3 linked regions of the Mus musculus genome follow. The protein of the gene in region 1 binds, or shares a complex with, the protein of each later gene. Links are inferred from orthologs where the notes say so. Each region holds a gene or a part of one and is shown in the gene's direction. Other genes may lie near its edges.

Region 1 (10,019 bases):
TCTCCTTTGATGGTGGGATCTTTTGTGCCCTCACCATCACTTGGGCATTGCACACTGGCTAATCAGACCTGGTGGTAGACGTTCTGTTCTGAGAACTGAGCTTCTGCCTGCTGGAACACTTAGGCCAGCAGGAAGGTGCACAGATCAGAGGCTAGGAGGCTGGCTTTGCTAGCACCCAGTAGGGGAAGTTGAGGAAGAGCTCTGTAGGAAGTGTACAAATTTTGAACTGTAGGGTAGCAGCAGCTGCTCTGGAGTAAGTAGACTTGTGAATCTGAGGCAGAGGACCAGTAGGAGGTCATGTTCAGAAGGGGGGGCAACAACAGTATGAGGAATGTGGGCTTTCCTGTGGCCAGTGTGCTGACCATGGAGCAGGGATTACTGCTGGAGCCACCACTCCTCTGTACTTGGAGGGCTCATGCTACCTGGCAGTGAGTAGTGAGGGACCTGTGTACATGCTTATTAACTTTATGTTCAATGGCATTGAGGTGTCTGACAGAAGCCATCTAGGAAAGGCTAGGACAAGCAAGTGAGTTCCTGGAGATGGCCCACAGTTTTGCGTGGCCATAATGGGTGCACTCTGGAGAGGCACAGCCCCGGATACTTGGTCCCAGGATTGCTTCTTGCTGCTGATAATGATTTCTGGGGGCTTTCTTGTAAATCAATATGAAGATGAATTTTCATGAATTAATGCTGTTTAGATGACTTAATGACTTTATAGAATTAAAATAATTTTAGGAAGAAAGTTTAAGGACATAGTTGTAGTTTTGCCAGAAAGATATAATAAAGTTAGAATCAAGAATAGAATGTGCCCCCTCCTATACAATAGTAAGTAAAGGCTGCATAATAAAAAATACAATGAGCTTTCATAAATTACACTAAGAAGAGAAACAGGCTTGGGGCAGATTTGTGATCAAGGAAAAACATTCATTCTAGATTACATCCAAAAATGAAGCCACAGGGTTGCACTATGATAAACCGAGGCCACGTGAAACTGTTGCTTTGAACTTATACTGCGCTTATAGAATGAAACACTGCTTTGAACTTATTATCGACATCCTTCTGTTACTTTTCTTTGGTGTAGCATTTATCTATGAGCTAATTTTATAAGAACTTTTTTTTTAATCTAAAAAGGTATAAAAAGGCTAAGAGGAAAAATAAAGTTTTGGCTGTTGAGGCTCTGCCCCATCTCCCAAATGTATATGTGTCTGTCTATATATATGCACTCTCAGAGTTTCAAGCCAGACGATGCTGGTGCACACCTTTAATCCCAGCACTTGGGAGGCAGATACAGGCGGATTTCTGAGTTTGAGGCCAGCCTGGTCTACAGAGTGAGTTCCAGGACAGCCAGGACTACACAGAGAAACCCTGTCTCGAAAAAAACCAAAAAAAAAAGAAAAAAGAGTTCAGAGTTTTTCACAGGGCACTAGTTAGGTTTTGTTTTATCAGTAGTGCTGACCCAGTAAATGACCCACTGTTGTTAGTGGGGGTGGTGAATCAACTGCCATCAACACGACCCCAATCATAACCTCATACCCTGCTAGTTTTCTGTTACCCAGATGCCAGAATAGGCTTTTGTCAGGTGTTATTGCTTCTTACCAGTACAAAGGAGCTTTGGTGTTGACCTTATGCCACAGGGCCTTTGTGAAAGAATCTAAGTAAAAGAGTCTCAGGTTTTTGTTTGTTTCAGAAAAACAGAAGACAGATTTGAAAGAAGGAAGAAGGGGGACCCAGGGAACTAGGCAGCTCTGTAGTGGAACAAGCAGACGTGGTGGCGTGATAGGGGATATGGGAAGTAGATGGCTCTAGAAGAGATGCGTGGGAGATGCAGTCAGTCATAGGAGTCCCCAGTGTGGCAGGTGATATAGTGAGTGGAAGGAGGTGACATGCTGTCTGTGCATCAGGACTGTGTGGCTGGGTCCTGGTGTTCACTGGCTTAGGAGCTGGAGGCAGGGCAGGAAAAAGTGATCATTCCAGTGTGAGAGTATATGGAGCCTTACGAGATATCCAAATAGAGACAGGCACAGATATGCAGAGTTTCTCACTGGCACTAGTTAAGATAGAGACAGGCATAGGGCAGGAGATAGGACAGGCAGGTACGCCCCAGGGTCACCTATATTCTAAAGTGGCAAAGCAGGAAATGAGGTGCATGGATGGCTTTTGGCAGCCCTTGTTCTCTTGCAGGCCAGATCAGGAGGGGATGGAAGCTAGCTCCTACCCTCAGTGGACGCTGTGTTGGCCTGAACTCTTCTGGGGAGGAAGTGGGGTTAGCCAGGCTGCACAGATGGTGAGGACAGGAGTGGGGCTTGCAGGCCAGGGAGGAGTGTGGGTCATCCCAGAGCAAGTTAGTCCCAAGTGGCCAGTCCCTACTGCCATGTAACTGAGCTTCCACCTTGCTCACAAAGGGACAATTTTCATTTTTCTTTTCTTTTCTTTTCTTTTCTTTTCTTTTCTTTTCTTTTCTTTTCTTTTTTTTTCTTTTCTTTCCTTTCCTTTCCTTTCCTTTCCTTTCCTTTCCTTTTCTTTTTTTTTATAGAAGATTTTACTTTATAATTATTCATGTATGTGTATATACATACACACGAATGTGTATATATGCATGTATGTCTGGTGGCACACGTGTGGAAGTCAGAGGACAACTTTCAGGAGTCAGTTCTATCCTTCCACAGACTGTTGGGCTTGTGCAGCAAGTGCCTTTACCCACGAGCCATCTTGCTGGCCCCCTTTTTCCTAGTTTTAATGCTCAACAATCTATCCTTATGGAGAGATATAAATGGTCACTTTTAGCGCCTTCACTGGCTACAGTGGATCAAAGCAATAACAGTTCAAATGTATTTTTCTGTAGTTGATCTGTGTAAAGAAGAGATGTCCATTTGCTTTTAACAAAGCCAGCCTTCCTGTAAGACATCCTAACCTGGCACATCAGGTCTCTGCAGGGCTAGGTGCTTCTCCCACCAAGGCCAGACAAAACAGCCAAGGTAGGGGAATAGATTCCACAGACAGGCAGCAACTTTAGGGATAGCTCCCGCTCCAGTTGTTTGGGACCCACATGGAGATCAAGCTGCACATGTGCTACATATGTGCGGGGGTTGTTTATATCTCTTGAGAAAGTTCCTCTCCATAGCCCAGGCTGGTCTCAAGATGGTGATCCTCCCTGCTTTTGCCTCCCAAGGGCTGGGATCACAGTAGTGCAGTGCTGTGCCTAATGTTTGTGTTTTAACCTGCTACTAATAGATAAGGTTTAGCTACTGACAAGCAGTTGCTTCTGCGGTCATGAGCTCTGGGTGGGTCTCAAGAGGTTGGGAATCATGGGCAATATTGTCCCTTCAGCCCTTTTCTCCCATAGTTTGTTAGTGTGGACAGTGGGCAGAGAGGTGAGTGCTGGTGTGAAAAGGTACTGCCCCACCCACATTGCTCCCTTCATTTTAGATCTAAGGTAGGGAGCTGCTGTGACTGCAAGTGGCCTTAGTTGTGTGAGTTGGCTTTTGTGCTGGCTTTTACTGTTCCTCTTCCTTTCTTCCTTTCTTTCTCTCTCTCTCTCTCTCTCTCTCTCTCTCTCTCTCTCTCTCTCTTTCTGTCCTAAAATGACAAGAAATAGACTTTTTAAAATTTTTTTTATTTTTTGCTTTTGGTGAAGTTCCCCCTACCCCGCAGTTTGGGGTTTTGTTTTGATTTTTAATTTCATGATTCAGATGAGGACGCTCATATTTCCCACAGTGTTTCGGCTACTGTGTCTGGCTTATTTCAGCAGCACAGTATCCTCAGGTGGTCCCTGACTTGGTATATGGGACTACCTATCCGGAATAATTATTGGATGTTTTTAGTGCAACAACAAAATAAAATTTAAACACTAAAAGGTGCCATTGATGGTGCTGACAGAGTATGAGGTACGGAACATCACATAAGTGTGGAAGGGGTCAAGCCAAGCATGGTGGACCACATTTGTGAACTATTTTTAGGGGTTAATATTAGTTTCTTAATGAACCCTGATAATGTCAAATGGAAATGCAGATTTATTTTGCTCAGATTTATTTGGGAGGGGTTAATCATTATGTGTATGAGTGTTTTCCCTACAGGTACGTATGTAATCTGTGTATGTCCTGATGCCCAGGAAGGTCAGAAGAAGGCATCAGATAGAATTATGGATGGTTATCAGCTGCCAAATAATTGCTGAGTGTTCTCTCATGTTCCCAGAGTTAGATTTTAAATGAATAACCAGAACTCTCAGTGATTATGATGTGTGTTAAATATGGCAATATCAGTTAATAGCCTGGGCTTGCAGAATTGCTCGGTGTGTCACCTTGAGTGGTGACTACACAGTCTCAACCTGCACATACATAGCCTTGGTGCCTGCTGTTCTTTTTCATCCACTATAAACTGGGTCTGGAGAGTTAGCTCAGCAGTTAAGAGTACTTGCTGTGCTTATTAGAGGACCCAAGTTCACTAACTAGCACCCATAAGACAACTGACAACTTGTTTGTAACTCCTGTTCCAGGGAATCTAATGGCCACTACTGGCTCTCAGCTGTGTCCTCTCTCTCACTCAAGCTGCTCCCTAGAGAGAGCTCTTCCAACTGTTGGCTGTCTTCACCTACAGCCTTGGAGCATAGGCAACGTTGCTGGGCCAGCATGATGAAGCTGGAGTGGGTGACTGGTAGTCAGTTGGCTGAGTGGCAGCAGTTTTTTGTGGGTGGGAGTTGAACACATGGCCTGTTTTTTGTTTGTTTTAAATTTTTATTTTGTTTTAAAGCAGGGAAGCCCTGTTTCCTGAAGCTTGCTCTGTAGACTAGACTGCTCTTGAACTCAGGATCCACCTGCCTGGATCAAAGACCTGTGCTTGCGTTTTAAAAGTAAAATTGCCTACCACTTTTTATACTTTGAATGTCTGATTGGCTTTGTATCAGGTGGACCACTAGCCTTCCTTTCAAAAGTTCAGAGAAACAGCAGGTAGATTATTTCTGAGCAGTTATTTCCAAGGGTTTGGGTTCATTGAGAAACCAGTAAATACATGGCTTATACTCAGCTTGTTCCTGGTGTCCTGAACACTTAGTAGACAGTGTGAGAAGTACCCTGGGGCAGCACTGTGGAATGGTCAGCTCCCAGAGCTCTCCTTATCTCTTCAAAAGGTTTTGGTCTTGTGAAAAATCAATTTTTAAGGTTTGCCTTTGGGCATACTTTCTGCCTAGAAGACTAACCCTGAAATGTCCCAGAGAGAAGAGGTTAGACCAGGCCAGGCTGTAGGGTTGTTTTGTTTTGTTTTGTTTTGAGACAGGGTTTCTCTGTGTAGTCCTGGCTGTCCTGGAACTCACTCTGTAGACCATGCTTCCCTCGAACTCACAGACATCCACTTGTTTCTGCCTCCTGAGTGCCTGCACCAGGCACCTTGTAGGTTTTTCCTTTGCTGTCTCCAGGGGTGCTAAATGTTCAAGTTGCTAACAGTGTCTTTACCTACTCTATTCCTGATCTTCTGAAGTTGCTGAAGATGTAGCCTTGGATGGCACCATGCCTACTGGCCATGCCTGGGACATAGGAGAGGGACGGTTGCAGGGCTGGATGAAAGGTCTGGGTTACTAGGGAAGCCTGAAGACACCTTCCAAGTCCCCTTTTCTTTGGAGAATCAGAGACACTTTACAATGTATTCTAATGGAGGCTCTTGGAGTCTTTTCTCAGATTTCTGTTTGCACATGAATTCATTCAATCATTCTTGTGCTTGTCACTCTCTAGGAGTTTGCTGCGCTCACGAAGGAACTCAATGTGTGCAGGGAGCAGCTTCTAGAGAGAGAGGAAGAAATCGCCGAGCTGAAGGCAGAGAGGAACAACACTAGGGTCAGTCACTTGTGCCTTTCCCACTTTTCAAGGGGTCATCAACCCATTTTTAATTCAGCCTAGGGGGCTTCTTTGCTCGTGCTGTGTTGACTTTATATTCCCTTGCTGTGGGTGGATATAGTGCTTACCTATGAAGCGAGCACTTTACCGCCTGCTGGGCTCTGTTGCAGCTGCTGTTGGAGCACCTAGAGTGCCTTGTCTCCAGGCATGAGCGCTCTCTCCGGATGACAGTGGTAAAGAGGCAGGCACAGTCACCTGCAGGCGTGTCCAGTGAGGTGGAAGTGCTGAAAGCCCTGAAGTCACTGTTTGAACACCACAAAGCCTTGGATGAGAAGGTACAATCACCATACCGACACCTGTATGCCCTGTCAGGGGGCTGCATGGCACTGTGATCATGCTTGTAACTTCTGGAGCTCCTATGTAAAGCTTTTCTCAGTTAGAGGGTACTGGCCTATGGGCTGGCTGATAAGCATCTTTGACTCGAATGTTTTAACATTTTTATATCAATGTGCTAATAAGAATTTGGGTCTAGTGTGATTCCTAAAGCCTATAACCCTAGCCCCTGAGAGGCAAGGAAGCTTGCTGAGAGGTTGAAGCTTGCTTGGCCACATAGATTAGTAGTAGGCCAGCCTGGACTATGTGGCAAGTTTATATCTCAACTTTTTCCTCCCCTCCTGAAAAAGAAAATAATTAGTGGTCTGACTTATTTAGGAACAAGATTTTGTCAAATTAAAAACATACACACCTGTAATCCCTGCACTTAGGAGACTGGGGCAGCAGGGTTCCCAGGTTCCAGTCAGCCTGGTTCAAAAGTGGCGGTATAGTACCAGTCTGCTGTATTCTGCTAATGCTGTGTTGCCTTGGGCATACAGTAGGAATCCAAGTGCACACTCAGCCCTTCACTTGCAGGTACGAGAGCGACTACGAGTGGCTCTGGAGAGGTGCAGCTTGTTAGAAGAGGAGCTGGGTGCCACCCACAAAGAGGTAAGCTTGGGTTCTGTCGTGGGATTGGAACTAAAGGGATTGATACTTGTTACTTAACTTTACAAGTATAAGACAGTAATAGACACTGCAAGTTACTTATTTTCCTAGGTGTAGATCAACCTGCTGGGGTCACTGGATTCTGTCTCAGCCCTCAGCCTCTCCCAAGTACCTCTCTCTCTCTGCAGATGACAAATGGTTTCTAGAGCTCTGCTCAGAGCCTTTGACTGCACAGCTGTTAGAGCCACTTGTCTCCCAAAGCCACTGGCCACCTTTGCTCATTTCTCTTACGTAAAGATCTCACGCTAGTGAGTTCAATTTTTCTTTTGTAGCTAATGATTCTTAAAGAACAGAATAATCAGAAGAAAACACTAACAGATGGACTGCTTGACGGAAACCATGAACAGGAAAGTGCACCAAGCACCAACGGCAAGGCAAGTCCTTGGCTTTTTTTCCTGTGTGGTCTCTGGTTTTGTTTTGCCATGTAGGGCTGTTGGGGAATAGTGGCAACTAAGGTGTGTGTCCACTGAGGAACACACAGGTTCCTCCCTCTGAAGGTCTGTGCTTCCCGGGTGGTGTGCCCAATGGTGCCATAGGGCTGTGCTTTTCAGAGATCTTCTGATGGCTCCTTGAGTCATGAGGATCTTGCCAAAGTGCTGGAGCTGCAGGAAGTCATAGACAGGCAGGCGAGAGAGCAGAGCCAGATGAAGGAGCGCCTGGCCTCCCTGTCCAGTCATGCAGCAGAACTAGAAGAGGATCTGGACACAGCTAGAAAAGACCTCATCAAGTCTGAAGAGATGAATACGAAACTGCAGCGAGAAGTCCGTGAAGTGAGTGCGGGGTGCGCCTGGCTTCCTGCTCCCTCTATCTTTTGCTCTCATAGTCTGGAACCTTTGGCATACACACCAGACACCCTCTCTCCTGCACCCTTCACATGAGGATCATATGCTACCATGGCTGCAGTAGTGCACTCTTTCTTGTGTTCGGTTTCTTCTCACTTGCTCCCAGAGCCCACAGACATGATGTCAGTTGTGCTTTTGTAGGGGCAAGAAGAGGTAGACCAGCTGTCCTCTGTCATTTGTATGGTATGGTGCTGAGTACTGAGGTGGTTCACTCTGCCCATCAGGGTCTCTATGGAAATGTTTGTTTATATATACACCTCATAACCAGTTTTCCTTGGTAAATTACAAGACCCTCTTTGGTCACTAGAAAAGAAATGAGAGCTGCATGCTTTCTTGTAAACTCTTTCTGTTCCATCTGAACCTGTCTTTTGTTACCCCAGGAGACCCCACCTAATAGCATGTGAGACCAGGGAGCGTTAGTTTTGGAGATTAATGTGATTTATTGTAAGAATTCAGGTCAAAGGAAACACTGCATGAATTAGAGAATCAACTAGGTTGTGCTGTTCTTGGGCCACAGGGAATTATTTCTGTGGTAGAGAGTTGAGATGTTCTTTTAAGACTTGCCTCTTTAAGAAATATAGTAAGGGGATTAGAGGGATGGCTTAGTGGTTAAAAGCAATGGCTGCTCATCCAGATGACTTGGGTCTAATTCCCAGCACCCACATAGCAGTTCACAACTATCTGTAATTTAACTACAGTTCCAGGGGATCTGACACCCTTACACAGACATACATACAGGCAAAACATTATTTCAATGCACATACAATAAAATTTATTTATAGATAGCCAACAGTTAGGAAATAAGGAAGAAGCTAAAAACTGAATTGGGGAATAGAAGACAGATACCAACTATGCCAAAAGTCAAGTCCTGGGCTCAGTGTTTGGGGTTTATAGTTTTGGCCTTGCTGATTTCTGTCTCTTTGTCAACATGCTTGAGGTTTGTGAGTCTGTCCAGCTCTTACTGAGAAAATGAAGCAGTTCTGCCCACAGTGCTCTATAAGCCTGGTTGTTGCTTAGGCAGACACAGGTTACACCTTCACTGCAGATGCCTTCAGATTCATGGATGCTTGAAGTGTTGTATGGGGCGTTTTATTAGTATTGTGTAGTCAAGTACATGCTTGGTGACACGAGCAGATTAACCAGACAAAGCTGTTGATCATGTGGGCGAATATGCTTCAAGTGTGTCCATTTTCACTCTGGTTGTAAAAGCAGTTTACACTGGGGGAGCAGCAGTTTCATGCTTGAGATGTGTGGTGTCTCTCTGTTTCCTGAGTGTTCTGATGAGTTCTGCGTTTATCATCTCCGTCTCCCTCTGGAATCTCCAACACAGGCAATGGCCCAGAAGGAGGATATGGAAGAGAGAATCACCACCCTTGAGAAACGCTACCTCGCCGCACAGCGTGAAGCCACGTCTGTGCATGACCTCAATGACAAACTTGAAAATGAAATTGCAAATAAAGACTCCATGCACCGACAGGTACTGGGGTCTGTGGGCCCCTTTCTAGTTTTAATTATTTGTGAAGCCGAAGACCTTTCCTTTGTAAATTGTATGTTGGAAATCAAGTACTTAAGTCATTTTTCTTATGACTTACTTCTTAGCAGTTTATAGAACCTTGATTCTTCTGTTCCTTTTTTTTTTTTTTTTTTTTTTTTGTTATGAGCATTAATGTGTGCCTGTGCCTGTATGTGTTGGTGTATGCTTGCACATTTGCACCTGTATGTGTAGGTGTGTGCATGTGGCAGTCAGAGGTCAAAGTCAGGGGTCTTTTCTCTATTGCTTTCCGCCCTATTTTATTTTATTTTATTTTCAGTTGTACTTTTAAGATTTTTTTTAAATATATTTTTAAGATTTAAAAAAATTTTTTTTATTTTTAATCTTGTATATTTTATATGGGTACATCTTTGTGTGAGTGCAGGTGCCTTTGGAATTCAGAAGAATGTATGGTATCCCCCGGAGCTGGAGTTACATACAGGTGGTTGTAAACCAGTGAATGTGGATGCTTGAAATCAAATTTGAGTCCTCTGGAAGAGCAGCAAATGCTCTTAGCCACAGAACTCTTTTTCTAGCCTCTCCACTGTAATGTTTAAAGACGGGGTCTCTTACTGAATGTTGAGCTCACACGTTGTCTACACTGGCAGGGCAGTGAGTGCCAAGGTTCCTGCTGGGTCTGCCTCCACAGTGCTCGGGCTAAAAGCATGTGCTGCTGCACCAAGCCCTGTTAAAAAAATGTCAGTACTAGGGACTGAACACGGGTTCTCATGCTTGCACAACAGGCACTCTGCTCGCAGAACTGTCTCCCCTTTGTTCTGTTTC
Region 2 (10,019 bases), on another chromosome or scaffold:
ATAGATGTCACATTGGATGTGCCCTGGGGAGGAAGAGTGTGCAGTTTCTGGTGTTTGTTTGTTTGTTCGTTCGTTCTGGTTCTAACTCTGATGAGATTGCTTGTGGTTGAGTTCTGGATGCCCCTATCTGTCCATTTTGTATTTCTTCTGGTTTTATTTCTGATGTATTGAAAGGACTATTCAGGGAATCCTATGGATACAGTATATAATGTAGCTAGGAAATTATGAGGAGCAGATCACAAGCTGGGCGTAGTGGCTCATGTCTGTAGTCCCAGGAGGCTAAGCAGAAGGATTATTCCTGACATCCTGGAGAGGGGGAGGACAGTGGATGAGAGAGGGGAGGGGAAGGCGGGGTGTCTTACATACTGTTATGTATGTAAGACAATTTCATGTGTCTTACTCTTGTTGAGACTTTTCAAATGTGTCATTTATGACTTGGATATGAAAACAATGGAAGAAAATCCAAGCACAGTGGTGCATACTTTCAATCTGAGCAGTTAGGAGGCAAAAGCAAATGGATCTCTATGAGTTCGAGGCCAGCCTGACCTACGTAGTGAGTTCTAGGTCACCCTGCTCTACATAATGAGTTCCAGGACAGCCTGATCTACATAGTGAGTTCCAGGACAGCCAGGGCTGCATAGGAAGACTGTGTCTCAAAAACAAATAAACAAAAATAAAAAGTGTAGAAAAGTCTGTACTTCCTTGGACAGTGTACTATGCATAATATACAAAGGTGATTTAAAAAAAAAAAAACAGCAGAAGGGAGAAGAGTGGGAAGGGGAATGTGGACGAGCACTAAGGCAGATGCCAGGAGGGTACAAGCTGATGGCCAGGTTTTGCCTAGGAGCTGATCTTAGCATTGTATAAACCAATAAAAATGTAAGAAGTTAGTGAAGCCAAGATGGAAAATAATTGCAAAGCTAGCAAGCAGGCCTAGCTTGTCAGTACCACCAGGAAAAATCACTCTGGATTGAGTGTTTAAGCTCTGGTGGGGAGACAGAAAGGCTTCTGAAGGCTTTCCAGGCAGGAGCCTTTATCTTACGATTTCATCTTGTGACTTGTAGAGCTAAGTGGACGGGAAGAAGCCTGGCAGACGCTGTCCATGTGTCTGCTCCATAAACAGGCATTGGCAGCCTGGTGTGGAACCTGGGGATGGAGTGGTAGGAACAGGAGGGCATCACAGGTCATAATCACTGTTCCACACCCCAAATTAGTGACAGGGATCATTCAGGGACAAATAGAGTACTGTCCTCTACTAGGTACCCAGAACTTCGTTTTCCCTAGGGCTATGTCTATGGCTACTGGAACATTCCAGCAGCTGCTGCTTTTTAGAGTCTGTGCTGGTTAGCTTTCTGTGATCTTGACACAATACAGAGTAATTTGGGAAGAAAAGGTCCCCATCATCATATTAACGTGTACACAAGCCTATGGGATGTATTCTTAATTAATGATTATGTGGAAGGTCCAGCCCACTGGGATGGGAGCATTTCTGGGCAGGCAGTCTTGGGTTGTATAAGAAGGTGGCTTAGCAGGGCCATGAGGAGCAAGCCAGTAAGCAGTGCTCCTCTAAGGCCTCTGCTTCAGTTCTTGCTCTGACTTCCCTTCATGGTGGACTATAAGGTAAAATAAACCCTTTCCCTCTCAAGTTGTTTTTGGTCAGTAGTCACCACAGTGGTACATTTAGAACCAAGACAGGGTACTTGTTTTCTGTTTACTCAGAAATGGGGTAAGTCTAGTGAGTTGTGTTTAGGTGCCTGTAATGCTTATTTTGAAGTCAGTTAATTCTTACATTTTCCATCCATGCCTGCTGTGCTAAATTTAATCCAGGCCCCTTGAGTTTAAAATATCAGTTTTACTGATTGATAACATATCAATCCTAAGAGAGAGTTGACCTTACTTATGTTACTTTCTCATTCAGACAAATGGACATCTACCTGGGAATGGAGATGTGTATCAAGAAAGGTTGGCACGTCTAGAAAACGACAAGGAATCCCTCGTTCTTCAGGCAAGTGGTACTTGAGGCCATTCCTTTCTCAGGACATGTGTCCTTGCAACTTTGAATCACATATATGTGCAACACCTGTATTAAGCACCTGTAGTAAACATGTCATCTAAGCAATATAACAACTGCTTATGTGCATTTACATTGTACTGGAAAACCTGTGGCTGAGAGTATAAGGAAGATGTGTGAGCTGTATGTGAACATACTGCTGTTCCATGAAGGGACTTGAGCATGCACACTGATATCTGCAGGGATTCTCGAACCAGCCACAGACAGATGCCAAGGGAAGACTGTACTTTCACAGACTACTGAAAATGAAACAATTTGTACAGCAGCCCAGCCAGCCACTGAAGGAAACAGCCAGTGCAGAAGAAGGCAGCTGTGGTGTCAGTGACTGTAATCCCAGGACTTAGAAGGCTGGGGCAGGAGATTTGCCATGAATTTGAGACCAACCTGGGATATAACCCCAGATCCTATCTTTTTTTTTTTTAAAGATTTATTTATTTATTAATTATATGTAAGTACACTGTAGCTGTCTTCAGACACTCCAGAAGAGGGAGTCAGATCTCGTTACAGATGGTTGGGAGCCACCATGTGGTTGCTGGGATTTGAACTCCAGACCTTCGGAAGAGCAGTCGGGTGCTCTTACCCACTGAGCCATCTCACCAGCCCTCTCAGGTCCTATCTTACAAACAAGAAGGGGGTGCTAGGTCAGCTCTCTGTACCTGGAGTGCGCAGGGCTGGCTGTGGCCAGCTTTGTCACCCAGTTCTCAGGAGCAGGTCAGACTTGAGATGATTTTGCCACTTGAGATGATTTTGTATGTCCCCTGCTGTCAGATCTGATTTTATATACATTTCAACTGGAAATCCAGATCTGTGAATTCCCGTAGTATAAAAATCTCTTGTCTGAATATATATTAACTTTCCATCTTTTAAAATGACACACAAACCGTACAGAGTAGCCGAGTGGAGCCTGCTGTTGGGGAGTACTATGCGGTACTTGCTTTTGCTTGCTTCCTCATGGTGTTCCTAAGTACAGAGAAAATGCCTTTATCTTTATGTTTCGAACGATGTGGATCAAAGAGTATTTATTCAGCTGGTATCCCAGGGGGAAGACTTGTAGATCTGCATGGAACCCTGGGGATGAGGGATGGGCTTCACTGTTTGTTTCCTGGGCATGTGGTGCAGTACCCTGGCTTTTTCCTTTTCCTCTTTGGTGTTGGGACCTGAACTCATGCTAAGTGCACCACAGCACTCTTCCTTTGCCCTTGCTTTGAACGCACTTGTGACCATGTTCATCTTGGAAGAGCTTGTAGAATTTGAGGTCTTTATTCACCTTTGCTCCTTTTTATTATTGATCCGTGAAATCTGCGTGGTCCTTTGTGCCTGTTTCCTCACTTCCTCTGTGGCTCCCGACTAGTAGTCTCTTACCATCGCCTTCAACATCAGATTTTCCTAATGACAACTGAAATGGTTTTAATGCGTAAAGAAACTGCAAATCTCTCATCAGCACCATGTTTCTCCTAAATTGAATAGGAATCCTTGGATCATAAGGCAGCATAGGGCTGCAGAGGCTGCCCGGTGGTAGAGAGCCTGCCTATCCTAGCATGCACAAGTCTTGGGCTTGATCCACACAAAGCGAAATATAAATAGCAAAGGGTAGGACCACTGTCCTCTTGTTAAGTTTGTGATGTTTTAAACCACCGTGAGTGATGGATCTTAGTCCTCATTCCAGTTAGAGAATGAGCCATGCTTTGGGGCCCAGAGCCTTTCAAACTCATAGCCTCTTGCTTTGATTTAATAGGTAAGTGTGTTGACAGACCAGGTGGAGGCTCAGGGAGAGAAGATTCGGGATTTGGAGTTCTGTCTTGAAGAGCACAGAGAGAAGCTGAATGCCACTGAAGAAATGCTGCAGCAGGTATGGGCCAAAGCTGGTGGGGGAGGGGATGCTGGATTGTGTTATCTGAGGTGCAACATTCCTGTCTTGTCTCAGCAGCAGTAAATTCCAGAATCCCTAGACTGTTTTGTTTGAAGTCTAGAGTAGCAGAGTCTAAAACCACAGAGACACACAACACTGTGCAGTTATGAGAGAACACAATATTACAGGAATTATAAGTTGATCTTTTGCGCTCATATTATTTCTAACTCTCAACCGTGAGATGAAAAATCACCATATGTGGCTTGTTAAGGCAAAACCTCATATATATATATGCGTCCCAGTGCGTACATGGGGCTTGTGGATGAAAAGCCTGTGATGCCGCAGAGACTGTATTTGGATGCAGAGTTGCTGCTGTTGAACATCAGTCTGTGCTATTGCCTGCCTTGACAGGCTCCGGACCTCCCTGTCCTCGTGATCTAGGCTTCCATGTTTCTAGAAACCCTGATAAATGAGGCTGATAAGCTCTTCTTCCTCAGGAGACTTTTGCAGGGACTGAACTCATGAGCATGTCTCCCAGTTCCTGATATAGCAGGCACCATGCACAGCACCATCAGTGCTGTCGTTGGGCTCAGGAGTCTGCCAGATGCGTCTCCCCGACACCCTGATGACACGTTGTAGTTCTGTTCAGAAGAGGTCACTAGATTAAGTGATCCTCAGCCGTGTGGTGTGTGGCAGTACTTCACCCACAGGCTACACTTAACCGTTGCCGCTCTGCCGTCACGACAGAAATGTGTAATGTAAAACTTGTGAACATCTGGAATCCTAACAGGAGCTTCTGAGTAGGACCTCCTTAGAGACACAGAAGCTGGAGCTGATGGCTGAGATCTCTAACTTGAAGTTAAAACTGACGGCCGTAGAGAAGGACAGGCTGGATTATGAAGATCGGTTCAGAGACACAGAGGTAAGTAGCGCATGCTCGCATGCTCGCATGCTCGTTCTGTCTCTTCCCTCCCTCCTCAGCCCTCACTGTGCTCCTTAGGGCAAGAGCACTGCTCAGTCTCTTCATCAGACTGATTAAGGCTTTTAACCCCCTTTGATGTTTGAGACATGGTTTCCCTGTGTAGCCTGGCTGTCCTGGAACTCACATTGTAGACTAGGCTGGCCTCGAACTCAGAAATCCACCTGCCTCTGCCTCCCGAGTGCTGGGATAAAGGCTTTTGCCACCACCATCTGGCTTTATTTTCCTGTAAGAGTCTGTTTAGACTTTTCCCTTTTCCTTACCCTCTCATCCCTAATAGAACAGTTGCTGTTGAACCTTCGTAGTAGCTGGGGCTGCAGGAGGATTGTTTCAGTGGTGGTGGGAGGAGGCTGTAGGGATGGGAACTAGGAGGCTGGATGGCGGATAGGAAGGGAGTTGAGGAGGCTGTCCACACTGTAGGAGGCGGAGTCTTACTTACCTGGTGCACTGTGCTTAGTTTAATCTGGTTATGAGGCTGGTTGTGAGGTTTTGCAGCAGGTGTTTGTCACGCCTTGTTTCTCCCTACTTCTGTCTTCTCCTGTGTTCTCATCCAGGGACCCTGAGAACCTCTAGAAAACACAATCCTTGATCATATCCTATGAAATAGTTTACACTGCTGATATAAGGGTGTACACATATTCACAGGATACATTACAGTATATTTGGTAATTTTACATTTATATTTAAAATAATCAAAATAGCATTCAGACGTTGAAACAGAATAGAATATGTACATGTTCTGGCTTAATGTCCCCTTAAAAATAAAACTTTTAGCTAGCTATTCTGCAATCCTGAATCGCTTAACACTGCCATAATTTTGAGAGTTTGGATGTTGGTTTCCAGGAAAATGTTGAAGTAAGTGGGGAACATTTATAGGTGTTTCCAAAACCTAGTGCGTTAAAATCTTTAAACCTTGAAGATTTGCGCCCCCTTCTGGTGTAGGCACAGATGGCTAAAATGCAGAGCTCTGAGTAGCGCCTGAGCTGATAAGTGTAGTAGTTTAGATTACATTGGTTTTTAAAAAGATTTTCTTTCCTTTTCTCTTTTTGCATTAAAGAGGTAGTTCCATATTTTCCAGCCCGACTTGTCTTGGGCATATCAAGCTTCTCACAGGTTGGAACTTCAGATTCATATTTAATCCATTGCCACCAAAAACAATTGGATAGTTTGTCTTTAAAAAAAAATAGGAAAATGGCCCCACTATGTAATTTGGTTTTCTATAATTCTTCCTTCATCTTTGCAGTCAGCACTAAAGGAAGGGGTAATGTTTATAGCAGTCCCTGCCGGGGGTTCAAAGCTGCCTGTTAACAATAGCAAAGCCTGAAAGATCAAAGGAAGGAAGGCCACTCCTGGCTTCTATGCAGGCAAGATAAGCTAGCAAGAGAAACCAATTCTTTTTAAACTTGAATTCAAATTATTTAAACAACTTTCACAAGTACATTTTTAAAATGGCAGTAGAAATGGTATACAATTATATTCTGTTATAAAATCATTTAGGCTTTTAAAATTTTACATGTATAAAATTATGTTATTGTATTAGATATATGAATATACTATATATATATATATATATATATATATATATATTAATTAGACCCTCATCTACCTTCATGTTGAGATTGTTGGCTTAAAGAAACTTAAGTTTATATTTTTATAGACTAGGCAAAAATTATAGAAATCTTTAAATAACTATAATGCATCACAGAAAAGAATTTTAAGGTTAATGGAAGAGAAAATACTCTAGTTTATATGAAAAGGTGGGGTCCATAGTTAGTTTTAATATAGAAGCAGATGCTAAGTGGCTTTGTTGGTGTTAGACAGCCTTCTGCATTAGTTGTGTTTCTGTGATGTTACAGTGAGCATGGAACATCAATTTGTCACAGCCTAGAACCACCTGTCAACAGTCCCAATTGAGTAATTCATCTTTGTCAGGTTGGTCTTTGTCAGGTTGTCAGGTGGACATGGTGTGAGGAATTGCCTTGACTTTCTTAACTGCTGTAGGCAGGTCCAGCTTATGGTGGGGCCTCCATCTTCTGCACGATATAGAAAAGCTAGGTGGACATGAGCCAGGTCAGTGAGGCAGTGAAGGAGCCAGCAAGCAGCACTCATCTGGTTCCTGGTTCCTGCTCCCAGGTCTCAGACTTGGTTTCCTGCCCTGGCTTCCCTCAGTAATGGACAGTGACCTGGAAGTATAATTCCTCCCCGCCTCCCCTCACCACACACACAAACACACACACACACACATACACACACACACACACACACACACACAGTCTGCTTTTGGTCAGATTGTGTCAGATCGTTTGATCACAGCAACAGGAAGAAAACAAGGACTCATCACTATAACAGATACCCAAGACAGCTTATAAAGAGACAGTTTTATTTTAGCCAACGGTTTTGGAGAGCATAGTCCATGAATAGTGGGCCTCATTGCTTTGAGATGGCGTTGAAGCAGCACATTATCATGACGTGCAGGCAGGAAGCAGAAAAGACGGCAAGGGGCTGGGGTCCCCAAATCCCTTTCGAGGGCATGCTCCTAATGGTCAAGAATCTCCCTGCAGACACTGCTGCTTCAAGGCTCCACAAACCTTCCAGCCCCACACTGGGGTCCTGGCCCACAGTTCTCACAATAGCATTTCTCTAGTCAAAGTCATAGCTACGTTTTTGTTTTCATAAGCACTTAGGGCAGAAGCACTAGAAGGTTAAGTTAGTATTTTAGTGGAAGTGTGCTTTGGCAGTTAGGGGTAAATTTCACTGGATCTCCCTTTATTAGGACTGGTTCTCAAACTCGTATCCAAGGAGCTGTGCTGGCTTAGGGCTTTCTGGCTACTCTTTTGGTGACTGTGCCATACCCTTTTCTAATTATTATTATTACTATTATTATTATTATTACAGGGGCTAATTCAAGAGATCAATGATTTGAGGCTAAAAGTCAATGAAATGGACGGTGAAAGACTTCAGTATGAAAAGAAGCTCAAGTCAACTAAAGTAAGTTTCTCTGGGGAAAAATGATGTTTTTTTTTTTTTTTAAACATGGTCTATTGTTCTATGAGAAATATTATTTAAAAGAAAGTGTTTTCCAACTGGTACACGGCAACACACATATCTCACAACTAAACCGTGTTTCTCCCAAGCTGGAGGTGCTTAGTTGACACGCTAGAGTTCTCAGTAAACCCAAGGCTTCACTAATCTGCCAGGACACAGCCTGTGGCATCTGGGTTAGCTGACCTTCTTTATGAACTGATGCTGTTTTCTTAGTTATTTAGCTTATCTTTTCTGCCTCGTTTTCTCTCATTCCTCTGTCTCTCTACCAGTCTCTAATGGCCAAACTCTCTAGCATGAAAATCAAGGTGGGTCAGATGCAGTATGAAAAGCAGCGGATGGAGCAAAAATGGGAGACCCTGAAGGTGTAGTAGACGTTGGCGGGAGCGGGCTGCCGCCTTGTGGCGTGTGTCGTTCTGCTGTGATAGTGTTTTCAGTAGCATGTGCATCCATTGCGTGTATGTGTGTCACCTGTCTGTTAAGAGTGCATACACCCAGATTAAAGGGACAACAAGAGTGCTAATGTAAATAGTAAACGGGCAGAGCATAAAAATGTCAGCTTATCAGCTTACTGCTTAGACTGTCTGACCCCTAAGTATCATAAGATAGTTGTTCAAAGTTCACCTGTGGAAGAATTCCGTCTCGTATGAACTGGAGCCTGCTCTCCTGTGAGGGGTCCCCGGAAGGCCAGTGTGTGTGCGTTCCTTATCACGACAGGGAAGAGAAGCCACTGCTCAGAAGCCCTGCAGGGAGAGGGGGCAGCACCTCTTTCAGGGATACTGAAAATTTCTGGACTTGGCTCCATCCTGTCTATCTTTACTATGAGTCAGGAGTACAGGGCCAACCTGGCCTCCTGGGTGGGTTTTTCATAACACTGAATGTATAGATAGCTGAATGAAGACTGAGAATAAATGCCACACTGAATAAAAGATGCCTGTTGCCATTGCATAACTAATTTCTGTGACAGATACAGCCTGAAAAATATAAATTTGCTAAACTAGTATTTTCTAAAGCCAGGCTGAGTTTTAAAATGTTAACAAATACATCAGGGCCTCAGACGCTCTTGCAGATTTCGTCATTTCAAAAGGAACACTCAAATCCTCACTTTCCATTGCCATAGGAGCCTGCCTTATTCAGTGATAAGAGTAAATTATCTACTTCATGATTTGGTCAGTCACCCCTGAATTGCCTCCCTGTGGCTACTGATGCCCAGGGACGATCCCAGAACCATGAGTGTCACCTTGAAATGCTGAGGGAACCAATCCAGCCTCTTTGAATTTGCTTTTTATTTTGCTTTTAAGACAAGTATCTAATTTGGTCATCTTCAACTAACTTGGTGAGACTTTGATTTAGCGCAGGCAGAACTTTAGAGAGTACTCGGTCTTGGTTATACTTCAACTTCTTACATTTACCCACAAACTTGAAACATTTACACTGCAATTATTACAAATTATTTATATTAATGGTGTTTATCCTTGCCTCTGTCTAATTTGTGTTTGCGTGTAAGTTTTTGTGGGTTTTTGTCTCATTCCTATAGTCTGAGTATTGATTTTTAAAGGGCTAATACCGCTTTATGCGTATTCCTTTTCTGCCATAGTCTACTGTTTTAAAATGAATTTATAATTTGTAGGACGAATTGGCATCTTTAAAAGAGCAACTGGAGGAGAAGGAATGTGAAGTAAAGAGGCTGCAGGAGAGACTGGTTTGTAAGGCGAAAGGAGAAGGGATCGAAGTCCTCGATCGAGGTAAGGCTGACTGTGGTACTCGATGGTTTCATTGTGATCCTGTAAACTGCAGGAGAGGATCTGCTGTTGGACAGTAGAACAACAACTCCAATGACATTTTAAACTCCAATGACATTTGGATCTGACCTCTGCAGCTCTAGCACGTGGAAATGGAAGCAGAAGGAATATAGGTTGATACCAGCCTGGGTGACACAGGGAGACCATGACTCAATTTAAAAAAAAAATCTTGAAATATAATATGTATAATGTCTGGCAGTCCTAGAATGTGTGTGTGTGTGTGTGTGTGTGTGTGTGTGTGTGTGTGTGTGTGTGTGTGTGTGCGTGCGTGCGTGC
Region 3 (10,019 bases), on another chromosome or scaffold:
TGGTACAAGCCTGGTTAGGCTACCAGGTTATTTAAAACGTTTTGTATTTTGTGAGATATTGGAATTTGGGTTTTATGGATTGGAAATTGTGAACAGGTACTTCTGGCTTTAAATTTCATTTTTTTTTTTTAATAGACAGGGTCTTACCATTAAGCTGTTCCTGCTGTTCTTGTCTAACTTGGGTTCAACTGATTCTCCTGGCTCCATCTCCCAAGTAGCTGGGATGACATACCAATATCACATTGTACCATGCTCATGATTTTTTTTTTTTTAATTTAGGATGAGATTTGGTATAAAATGTAAGATAATTAAAGCTACAGTTGAATATTTTAGTATTCTAAAAGAACAGTGTAAATGAGGTTTAGGATCAAGGGAAGGCTCCCTAAGCCAGAGCTTGCCTCCCTTGAGCTAAGTTGCAGATTGTTGATATAAAAGAGGCTCTGATTAGCAACATTGTTTAGTCCTAAGTATCTGTTTGACAAGGTGTTTGTCATGGTGAGGATGTTGATAGAACTCACCATTTGCTTGATTAAATTGATAAGAATTATTGAAACCTATAATCTATCTGATTTGTAACTGAGTTACTAATCCCTCTATAAAAGGGAAAAATAATAACAGTGGCAAATATTATGATTGTACCTTTAATATCATATTTTGCTGTTCTTATCAGAGACTCTCTTTCATGTTACTATGCCCTTTTGTTGGAGCTGCCTTAGCCAGTGAGTGATCTCTAGTTTTTAGTCTACAGTCACGCTAAGGTTGTATAAGTCAGGGTAAGGTGTGTCAGACACACATGGTTTGAAGAAACCTAGTTTTACTAAGTTACATGAGGAAGGTGTAACAATGAATGCTTTCTTTAGTATGTAAATTTCTATTTTTTTTTTAAAGATTTATTAATTTATTTTATGTAGATGAGTACACTGTAGCTGTACAGATGGTTGTGAGCCATCATGTGGTTGCTGGGAATTGAATTCAGGACCTCTGCTCCTTCTGGCCCCACTTGCTCAGGCCCAAAGATTTATTTATTATTATATCTAAGTACACTGTAGCCGTCTTCAGACACAGTAGAGGAGGGTGTCAGATCTCATTACAGAAGGTTTTGAGCCACCATGTGGTTGCTGGGATTTGAACTCAGGACCTTTGGAAGAGCAGTCAGTGCTCTTAACTGCTGAGCCATCTCTCCAGCCCTTGATGCTCTTTTTCTAATAATACATTTATATTTAAATTTTGTGTGTAGCCATTAGAGACAGCTTGTAGGGGTCATTTTTCTCCTTCCCCTATATTCCTGGGATTGAACTCAAATGTTGGGTTTGGTGGAAAGCACTTTTACTTGATGAGGTGACTTCACTGGCCTAGGTTTTTGTTACACTTTTCATATAGCTATGCAACATCACCTTTAAAGTTTACATTTAAAAACTACAGTGTCAAATTACAAAACTTTCAGAAGGGACTAGCAAAATGGCTTTGGAGGTGTGAGTGCTTGTTATGTAAATATGAGAATTAGATTTGGATTCTTAGTATCCACCTGTCTATAATCCCAGAACTCTGGAGACAGAGGCAGACGATCTGTAGACAGGCTGCTTACCTAGATTAGCCTAACCAGTGAGCTCTGCGTTCAAGTGAGAGATCCTGCCTCAGTATCTCAGTGTAAATGTAATTCTTGGGGGGAGGTGGAGTTCTTTGCCCTGTCTTGTACCTGATTAATTACAGGGCGTTTCTATGCCTGTTAGCTCCTGAATAAAGATATAGAGACCAGGTATTTTTTATTAACAAGCTGCAAGCACTAATAGCGGGACAGATTCTGATCTATTCTAACCTGACTAGGCTGCTACTACCCAGCCAAATTTCCTTGCCATCTGGTCTTGCCCCAGTTTGCTCTGGTCCCTGTGTGTCTGTCTCCATGGCAGCTTTCTCCTCGTGATCTCATGGTGAATCCTCCTGGTTTCTTCACAGGGTTTCTCCACACTTGCTTCTCCTCCTGGTCCTTCTCCACCTCCCCGTACCCCCAGCCCCCGTTCCTTTGGGACCCCTTGACTGAGATCAGAAGTTCTGCCTATCTCTTCTGCCCAGCTAATGGGGTGATCAGCTGTAGAGCTATTAAACAATCAGAGGTGATGAAAAACAATTTTTATGTAACATAGAGACTGGAGATGCTTGATCATGCTATCATCTGAACTGCACCCAGATATCTGGGCAGAGAAATCAGCATCTGAGTACACAGTGCACAAAACATGTAAAGTAGAGAGTAACCAAGGAAGATAACTTACATTAGCCTATGGCTTCTAACAAATACATTCATACCCAATATGCATCTGTATAATGCAGACATTACATACATGCAAAAATCACAAAAAGTTCTCTTAATGTTTTAAGTAAGTTACAGTTTTTCATGACACTTTTATCTTAGCTAGCCTTGGCTACTTGTGATCTGAGGGTTGGAGTCATTCCTGTGTGTATATGAATATATGCATGTTGTGTAATACTGATTGTATTATATGCATTCTTTCACAACTTACTTTTCTGTTTTACAGCAATAGACTATGGTTATCCACACTTTGTATGTCAGGTAAAGATAAGTATATTTAGAGTTTGCAGATAACATAATTTACTTAAACCAATCTCTTGCTGAAAATTTACATTCTTGCTGGTACAAATGATGCAGTAATGAACATCATTGTACATTGACCTTAGAACCTATGAAACATGCAGAATGGTTTAAAAAGTGAAACTTGTAAATCTTGGGTTTGATTCTGCATGCTTGTGCTCCCAGCACGCGGAAAGTGGGAGAGGAGCATCAGGACTTTAAGGTCGTCCTCAGCTGCATGACAGAGTACAGAGATCCTGTCTCAGAACACAAGCGAAAAAAAAAATCTTCTGAGTTGGAAGTGTAGCTCAGTGGTAACCCTTTCTTACCTTGTGCAAAGCCCTGGGTTCAGTCTCCACTACTATATATAAAAAAAATTAGAAGAGGAAACTTCTTTTTCAAGTGGTAGCTCATTTCAAATTGTGATTCTGCTAAATTGTACTTCAGTATGATTTTTAAATCATTTTTCAGAGAGCTTAAAATGAATATTTGTGACCCTAGAAATTTCATAGCTTTTCAAGAAAACAGTCTTACAAAAAATTTGGAATATAATTTAAAATTTAAGATACTTAACTCATTTTCAGATAATAAGTGATTATTACAGATGAGTATAACTAGTACAGAAGGTTAGTCTAGTGATTTTGAGATTTAGGCCAGAATTTTACTAGCAGTGCTTTAAATAGCTAATGGTAGTAATTACATCTTTTGCATCTTCTTATAAATGTCTCATAGCACATTTATGTGAGCCTATTCTGTTATAATTAAGGTAAGTTACTATGTTACTCTTAAAGCATTTTATTTAGTTCCATGGTATGCTTACAGCTTTTGTAAGAAGAGTGAGAATTAAAGGGTCCGTGCAATCTCTGTGTACAGATGTACATGTAGACATTTGGGTACACCCCAGGATTTTGATTAAGTGTATCTGCGGTGTGTGGCCAGTGTTGACATTTTGTGTTTTTTATGGTCTAGAAGCTTTGTGGTGGTATGAAGGTGGCCAGGCTTGACTTCAATTTTGTTGTTCTATTTTGAGAACTCATTGAGATTAGATAATAAATATGCAAAGTGGAATTTGAAGTGTTATGAAACAGCTTAGCAAAAGAGTTTGACACCCTTTGCTGTTCCTCTTTAACCTTTCACCCAAAAAGGTCACATTTTTTCCATGTATATGATATGTATTGAACATGTGCAAACTGTTCTTGCTTAATCACTTTCTGTTTGTTTGTTTGTTTGTTTTTCAAGACAGGGTTTCTCTGTAGCCCTGGCTGTCCAGGAACTTGCTTTGTAGACCAGACTGGCCTCAAACTCAGAGATCTGCCTGCCTCTGCCTCCCTAGTGCTGCAGTTAAAGGCATGCCACCACTGCCCAGATGACTTACTTTAAGCATCACAATTATTTATATATAGCTTACTCTGAGGTAGGTATTATTAGTGGTCTAAAAAAGGCTTAGAGTATAATGGTGGATATGTGTAGTCTATATGCAAAGCCTTTTTGTATAAGAAATTCCAGTTATGGAGTTTTGAGAGCCAGTCCATCCCTACCCTGGTATCCTTCCAACTTTATGTCTTTTTTTGTTCAGTTACCCATTGGTTAGTTTGTGCTGTTCATATTCTTCTGGATGTTGAACCACCCACTGAAACGTGGTTAACTAAAGGGAACCATACTCAGAAAGAAAACTGACTCTCCCTACCCCAGAAGCTGTCAGCTGTTCGTAGCTCTTCAGTTAAAGGAGTGTGTAGGCTTTTAACCCCCTTCACTCAGTGCTAGACTGTGGACTGGCTTGATCTTGTGCAGGCAAACACAGCTGCTGTGAGTTCCTTAGTGTAGTGGTCCTCTCATGAGAAGACAGTCTTTGCTCTGGGTTTTCCCTGACCTTTGGTTCTTACAATGTCTCTGAATACTTTTCCGTGATGATCCCTGAGCCTTGGGGAGGCCAGGATATACAGTATGTCTGTCCCATTTAGGCTGAGTACTCCACAGCCACTAATTCTCTGCACTTCTCTCACCAGTAGTGAGTTTCTGTGTTAACCATCATTCAGCGCACAAAGAAACTAAAGAGTGGCAGCACTCTACAGATGCAGAGATAAAATTTGGAGGGCAGTGTGGTATTATGTCTGTTTAGCAAAATAATCAGTCAGTTCACTCCTGGGGCCTATGAACTTTCCAACCATGGGTTAATTGGCTAGATTTGCAATACCAGGCATGTTCTTCTTCCCGTGGAACAGTCCTTAAATCCAACCAGAAAGTGGTTACTTCCATAACATCGATGCCAGCCCCTTTTTTGCTGTTCTCAGCTTGGGAATATTGTTGGTGACTTTCATTTTCTCTCCAGTAGCCTGCATAGCTATAGAAGTAGGTGTCGGAGAGGACGCTTCCTGGTCTTTACCAACTATTTATGTTCTGTGACCAATGTGTGTAGTGTCCTCAGAAATCAAATCTTACCATTAAGTTTAAGTTCTGGTGGGCAGCCAAGAGCGGAGCCAGCACTCTGTACTTTTTTCCAGTTCTTTCTTTTTGAGACAGTTTTGCTGGCGACACATCAGCTTGGTTTGGAATTTGTAAAAGCTCACATTGGCCTTGAACTTGATAACCTCTTGCTTCATCTTCCCCAATGCTTGGGGTTACAAGCAGATACAACCCTGTCTGTCTGGTTTATTTGTTTTGTTTATTTTATTTCATCTTATATTTTGAGACGTAGCTCAAGCTGGCCTTATCTGCCTCAGACTCCCTGTAGCTAGGATTATAAACATGTCTCATGTCTGCTTTTATAATAAAGTCTGTAGTTCTTTATGAGAATATGATGATCTGATGGGACTTTGTTTCCCAGAATTTTACTTAGAACATTATTGGGTATTGTACAGTATCCGGTGTTGATGTACATTATTTTATTGATGAAATACTTGATACGTATGCTCAGTGTTACACATAAAAGCACTCGGTAACCTGATATCAAGGAGAGGTTTCCCTGCCAAATTAGTTTTAAAAAAGGGGAAGGGCTGGAGAGATGGCTCAGTGGCTAAGAGCATGTTCTATTTTTTTTTTAAGATTTATTTTTATTATTCTAATTATGTGTTATGGGTTATGTGCACATGAATGCGGGTGCGCAGAGGTTCAGTGGTGTCTGATTCCTCTGGAGCTGGCTATTGTACTTCTAGTCCTCCATTTGAATTTTAGAATCAGCATTTTTAAATTACATGAAAATCTACTGGGATTTTGTGAATGAACTGGGAGAAGAGCTGATACCTTCACAGTATGGGTAACTTTTAACTTTTTTTTTCATTATTGAGGTATGATTTTATGTATTTTAGTAGAGATTTAAATGCTTGAACATTTTTGTTAGGTTTTAGGTACCTTTTATAGGTTTGTTGTTGTTAGCAGGACTTAACTTATTTTTTGATCAGGGTCTTGTGTATGTGAAACTCAGCTGTAGATGAAGATGGCCTTTACCTCTTCTGCTGCAATTATTGCCATGTATGTGCTGCAACATCCATTAATGTAGTGTTGGGGCTCGAACCCAGAGCTACATTTCTTCTCCTCCCCCTCACTCTTCTCTCTCTGTATGATATGTGTTTGACTGTTGGCAGGGGTCAGCCTCAGGTGTTGATCCTGGCCTTCACCTTGGTTGAAATGGAGTCTTTTGTTCTTTAGCTGGCCCATGAGCTTCTGGGAATTTTCCCTTCTCCGCCTCCCATCTCACCATAGGAGCACTGGGATTTCAGATGCATGCTATCGCCTTCAGTTCTACCTCATTTCTGGGGAAGTGACCAAGTGTTCTCATCCTTGCATGGCAAGTACTTTACACACTGATCCATCTCCCTAACCTTAACCTTAAGAGCTACATTTTCTAATTGTTATTCCCAATGTGCATGAAAGTATTGATATTTAAATATTGATCTTATGGAAATTTAGCTGTTATTAGTTCTAATGATGTGTCAAAGTATTAATATTTATATATTGAGCTTCTCTCTGACTAATGCATTAAGTTTTTTTTATTGATTCTGATAATGTATTCAAGTATTGATATTTCTGCACTGATCTTATGTAATGTTCTGAGTTCTGTTATTCAAATGTTTCACTTGGTAATTATCAGTTGATACTCTAATTTTTAATTAGAAAAACAGTACATTATGAGTAATCTAATTTTAAAGCCATGAGAATACTTAATGAAAAGTGACTCTTCCCCAGATAAAGGTAACAGAACACCTCTGAGAAAAGTATTTATCATTGGAATATTTAATGTATGATCTTTTCATTGCAGATATGGCATAAGATATTTCTTCAAGATTGGACAGCTGCTGGCCTGCTACTTCTGTTAGCTGTAAGCTGACTTTATAGCCATAGAGAAACCTCACAGAATCACATTGTTGTTTTTTTCTTCATACCATTTCTGGCACCTAAGTTCACCCTGCAACCATGTATGGAAGTGCTCGATCAGTAGGGAAGGTGGAACCAAGCAGCCAGAGTCCTGGGCGATCACCTCGGCTTCCTCGGTCCCCTCGCTTAGGTCATCGGCGAACAAATAGTACAGGAGGGAGTTCTGGAAACAGTGTTGGAGGTGGCAGTGGGAAAACCCTTTCAATGGAGAATATACAGTCCTTAAATGCTGCCTATGCTACATCTGGCCCTATGTACCTAAGTGACCATGAAAACGTGGGTGCAGAAACACCTAAAAGCACCATGACACTTGGCCGTTCTGGGGGACGCTTGCCTTACGGTGTTAGGATGACTGCTATGGGCAGTAGCCCCAACATAGCAAGCAGTGGGGTTGCTAGTGATACCATAGCATTTGGAGAACATCACCTCCCTCCTGTTAGTATGGCATCTACTGTACCTCACTCTCTTCGTCAGGCAAGAGATAACACCATCATGGATCTGCAGACACAGCTGAAGGAAGTATTAAGAGAAAACGATCTTTTGAGGAAAGATGTGGAAGTAAAGGAGAGCAAATTAAGTTCATCAATGAATAGTATCAAGACCTTCTGGAGCCCAGAGTTAAAGAAAGAGCGGGCCTTGAGAAAAGATGAAGCTTCCAAAATCACCATTTGGAAGGAGCAGTACCGAGTTGTACAGGAGGAAAACCAGGTTAGTTTCATTTATACATTTATCTTTATGGGCTGAGTCCATGTATATAAACAAAAAGAGGCATTCCTTTTCCATCCCGTCTTAGATTTCCCCCATCTTTGTTCTTTTATTTTTTTTATTTATCCTTTTTACTTTAGAACTCTGTTTCTACTTTCTTAGCCTTTTTAAGACTTGTTCCTGTACATGGTGCAAAACACTCACACATATAAATTAAAAAAAAAAAAATCACAAAGCAGTGACGACAACAACAAAAACCCAACTTGAGCTGGACAGTGGTGGTGCCCACCTTTGATTCCAGCACTCAGGAGGCAGGGGCAGGTGGATCTTTATGACTTGGAGGACAGCCTGGTCTACAGAACAAGTTTCAGGACAGCCAAGGCTACATAGAGAAACCCTGTCTCAAAAAGAAAAAAAAGAAAAAGAGCTTGAGGACTGCTTTGGCTACATAGTGAATTCAGGGCTAACCTGAGGTTACATATTGAAGCTTTGTCTCAAAATTAGAAACAATCAAACACAGGACTGCAGATACAGTTCAATGAAAGAGCATTTTCCTAGCCTGTAGCAGGAGATTCTTGGACCTGTCTTGCCTTCAGATTGTCATCACCTGTATTGGAATGGCCTTTTGGCCGGGAGATAGTGGTGGTGGTGGTGGCACACTCCTTTAATCCTAGCACTCAGGAGACAGAGGCAGGCAGATCTCTGTGAGCCTAAGGCCAGCCTGGTCTAGAGAGAGTGCTAAGGCAACCAGGGGTACACAGAGAAATCATCTCTTGAAAAACAACAAAAACAAAAAATCAAAGGGCTTCTTAATGATACAGTTGCATTTGAGTCACCTCTGCCTCTGTAAGTAGCCCCTCAGTCATAGCCTTTATTTTATTTATATTGGTGTTAGGTTTTGTCTCTGTGTATGTCGGTTTGAGGGTGTCAGATCCTCTGGAACTGGAGTTACAGACAATTGTGAGCTGCTGTGTGGGTGCTGGGATTTGAACCTGGGTCCTCTGGAAGAACAACTAGTGTTCTTAACTGCTGAGCTGAGCCATCTCTCTAGTCCCATAAGAGCAGGATATTTTGTTGGTTTGCTTGCTTGTTTTGGTTTTTGAGACACAGTTCTCTGAGTAACACCGGGCTGTCCTGGAACTCACTCTGTAGACCAGGCTGGCCTAGAACTCACAGAGATCTTCCTGCCCCTGCCTCCTGAGTGCTGGGATTAAAGGAGTGGGTCACTGTGTTTGGCTCCCCTCTCCCATATTTTTCTAAGTCACCTCAATAAAAAGTATTCATTGGCATACCAAAGTAAGTAAAAGGTTCATATTTTTAAAAACAATTTAAAGTCAATTCAGCACTTCTCTCTTGCTTCACTGTGTGGTGTGGGCTGGTCTGGAACGCTTCTGCTTCCATCCCCAAGTGCTTAGATTTATGTTAGCTTGCCTGACCACCAGCTCAAACTGGTCCTTTCAAGAGTAGATTCATTGTCTCTCAGTCTGACTTGATTACTCAGTACATAAATTAAAAGCAGATCTGGTTTTACCAAATACACTATTGAATTACCTAATCATCAACGTGTCTTGCTGAAAACATAGCCACCAATAAGGTAGTTTTATTGTCAAGTGACCTGGAAATGTTTATTGAGGAAAAAAGTTATTGGCATATTTTTTGACTTTGAAATAAATAAAGCATTTCTTAATGTGTATACTTTAAGGGTGTATGGGGATCAGGAGAGAAATCATTTCAGTATCCCTTTTCTAGTTACCAGGGTATATTCAAAGGCAAAATATTTAATTTTCTGAGAAGACAATTATGGGCACTTAGTATTTTCTGGGAAAGGAACAGTCCACAGGTTTTTCTTGCCAAGGAAACCATTATGTGCTGAAGATGGTGAATACTGCTTTATCTGGGTCCACCCCATGCCCTAATTAAACGCCAGTGCTGGCAGATACATTCTTCTTGCACCCACTGTAATTACCACAGAATTCTAAAATTGTGTAACTTTAGTCCAAAAAACAAAGGGTGCAATTTTAAAGACAGTACAGTGAGATACAGACACTGAGAATGCTAATTAATAGATTATAGTCAGCTAGCAGTGGGCCCCTAATTAAATAGTGCATTCATTATCCTCTTCTTAGCTCCCAGAGGTCAGACATCTTTCATTTGTGAAGAAGACTGGTTTATTAGAATTTATAGCAATTAAATACATTTCTGTATTTCTGTTTGAGCCTGGGGATTTTGGTCCATTTTAAATGTTTGATCTGATTGAGCTGGGTCCAGAATCCTATCAGTATAGAACATATTTGCTTAGGATTGCTGATTGCTTGGTGGGCATGACTCATTATTATGGCTCTCTTAGAAGCTTGTGTCT

Evidence for each region.
Region 2: Ppfia1 (region 1) and Ppfibp1 share a complex: the UniProt entries of both Homo sapiens proteins name them as parts of the cortical microtubule stabilization complex. The link is inferred for Mus musculus from reciprocal best matches to the Homo sapiens genes PPFIA1 and PPFIBP1.
Region 3: Ppfia1 (region 1) and Erc1 share a complex: the UniProt entries of both Homo sapiens proteins name them as parts of the cortical microtubule stabilization complex. The link is inferred for Mus musculus from reciprocal best matches to the Homo sapiens genes PPFIA1 and ERC1.

The regions. Positions count from the first base shown.
Region 1 is NC_000073.6:144,516,763-144,526,781, reverse strand, and holds part of Ppfia1 (liprin-alpha-1), read left to right. Parts: intron 1-5,720; coding exon 5,721-5,822; intron 5,823-5,992; coding exon 5,993-6,157; intron 6,158-6,731; coding exon 6,732-6,806; intron 6,807-7,135; coding exon 7,136-7,237; intron 7,238-7,414; coding exon 7,415-7,633; intron 7,634-9,035; coding exon 9,036-9,182; intron 9,183-10,019. UniProt on the Homo sapiens protein: May regulate the disassembly of focal adhesions. May localize receptor-like tyrosine phosphatases type 2A at specific sites on the plasma membrane, possibly regulating their interaction with the extracellular environment and their association with substrates.
Region 2 is NC_000072.6:146,988,596-146,998,614, forward strand, and holds part of Ppfibp1 (liprin-beta-1), read left to right. Parts: intron 1-1,918; coding exon 1,919-2,005; intron 2,006-3,806; coding exon 3,807-3,920; intron 3,921-4,710; coding exon 4,711-4,842; intron 4,843-7,794; coding exon 7,795-7,887; intron 7,888-8,213; coding exon 8,214-8,306; intron 8,307-9,571; coding exon 9,572-9,686; intron 9,687-10,019. UniProt on the Homo sapiens protein: May regulate the disassembly of focal adhesions. Did not bind receptor-like tyrosine phosphatases type 2A.
Region 3 is NC_000072.6:119,822,030-119,832,048, reverse strand, and holds part of Erc1 (ELKS/Rab6-interacting/CAST family member 1), read left to right. Parts: intron 1-6,229; 5' UTR 6,230-6,368; intron 6,369-6,839; 5' UTR 6,840-6,994; coding exon 6,995-7,663; intron 7,664-10,019. UniProt on the Homo sapiens protein: Regulatory subunit of the IKK complex. Probably recruits IkappaBalpha/NFKBIA to the complex. May be involved in the organization of the cytomatrix at the nerve terminals active zone (CAZ) which regulates neurotransmitter release.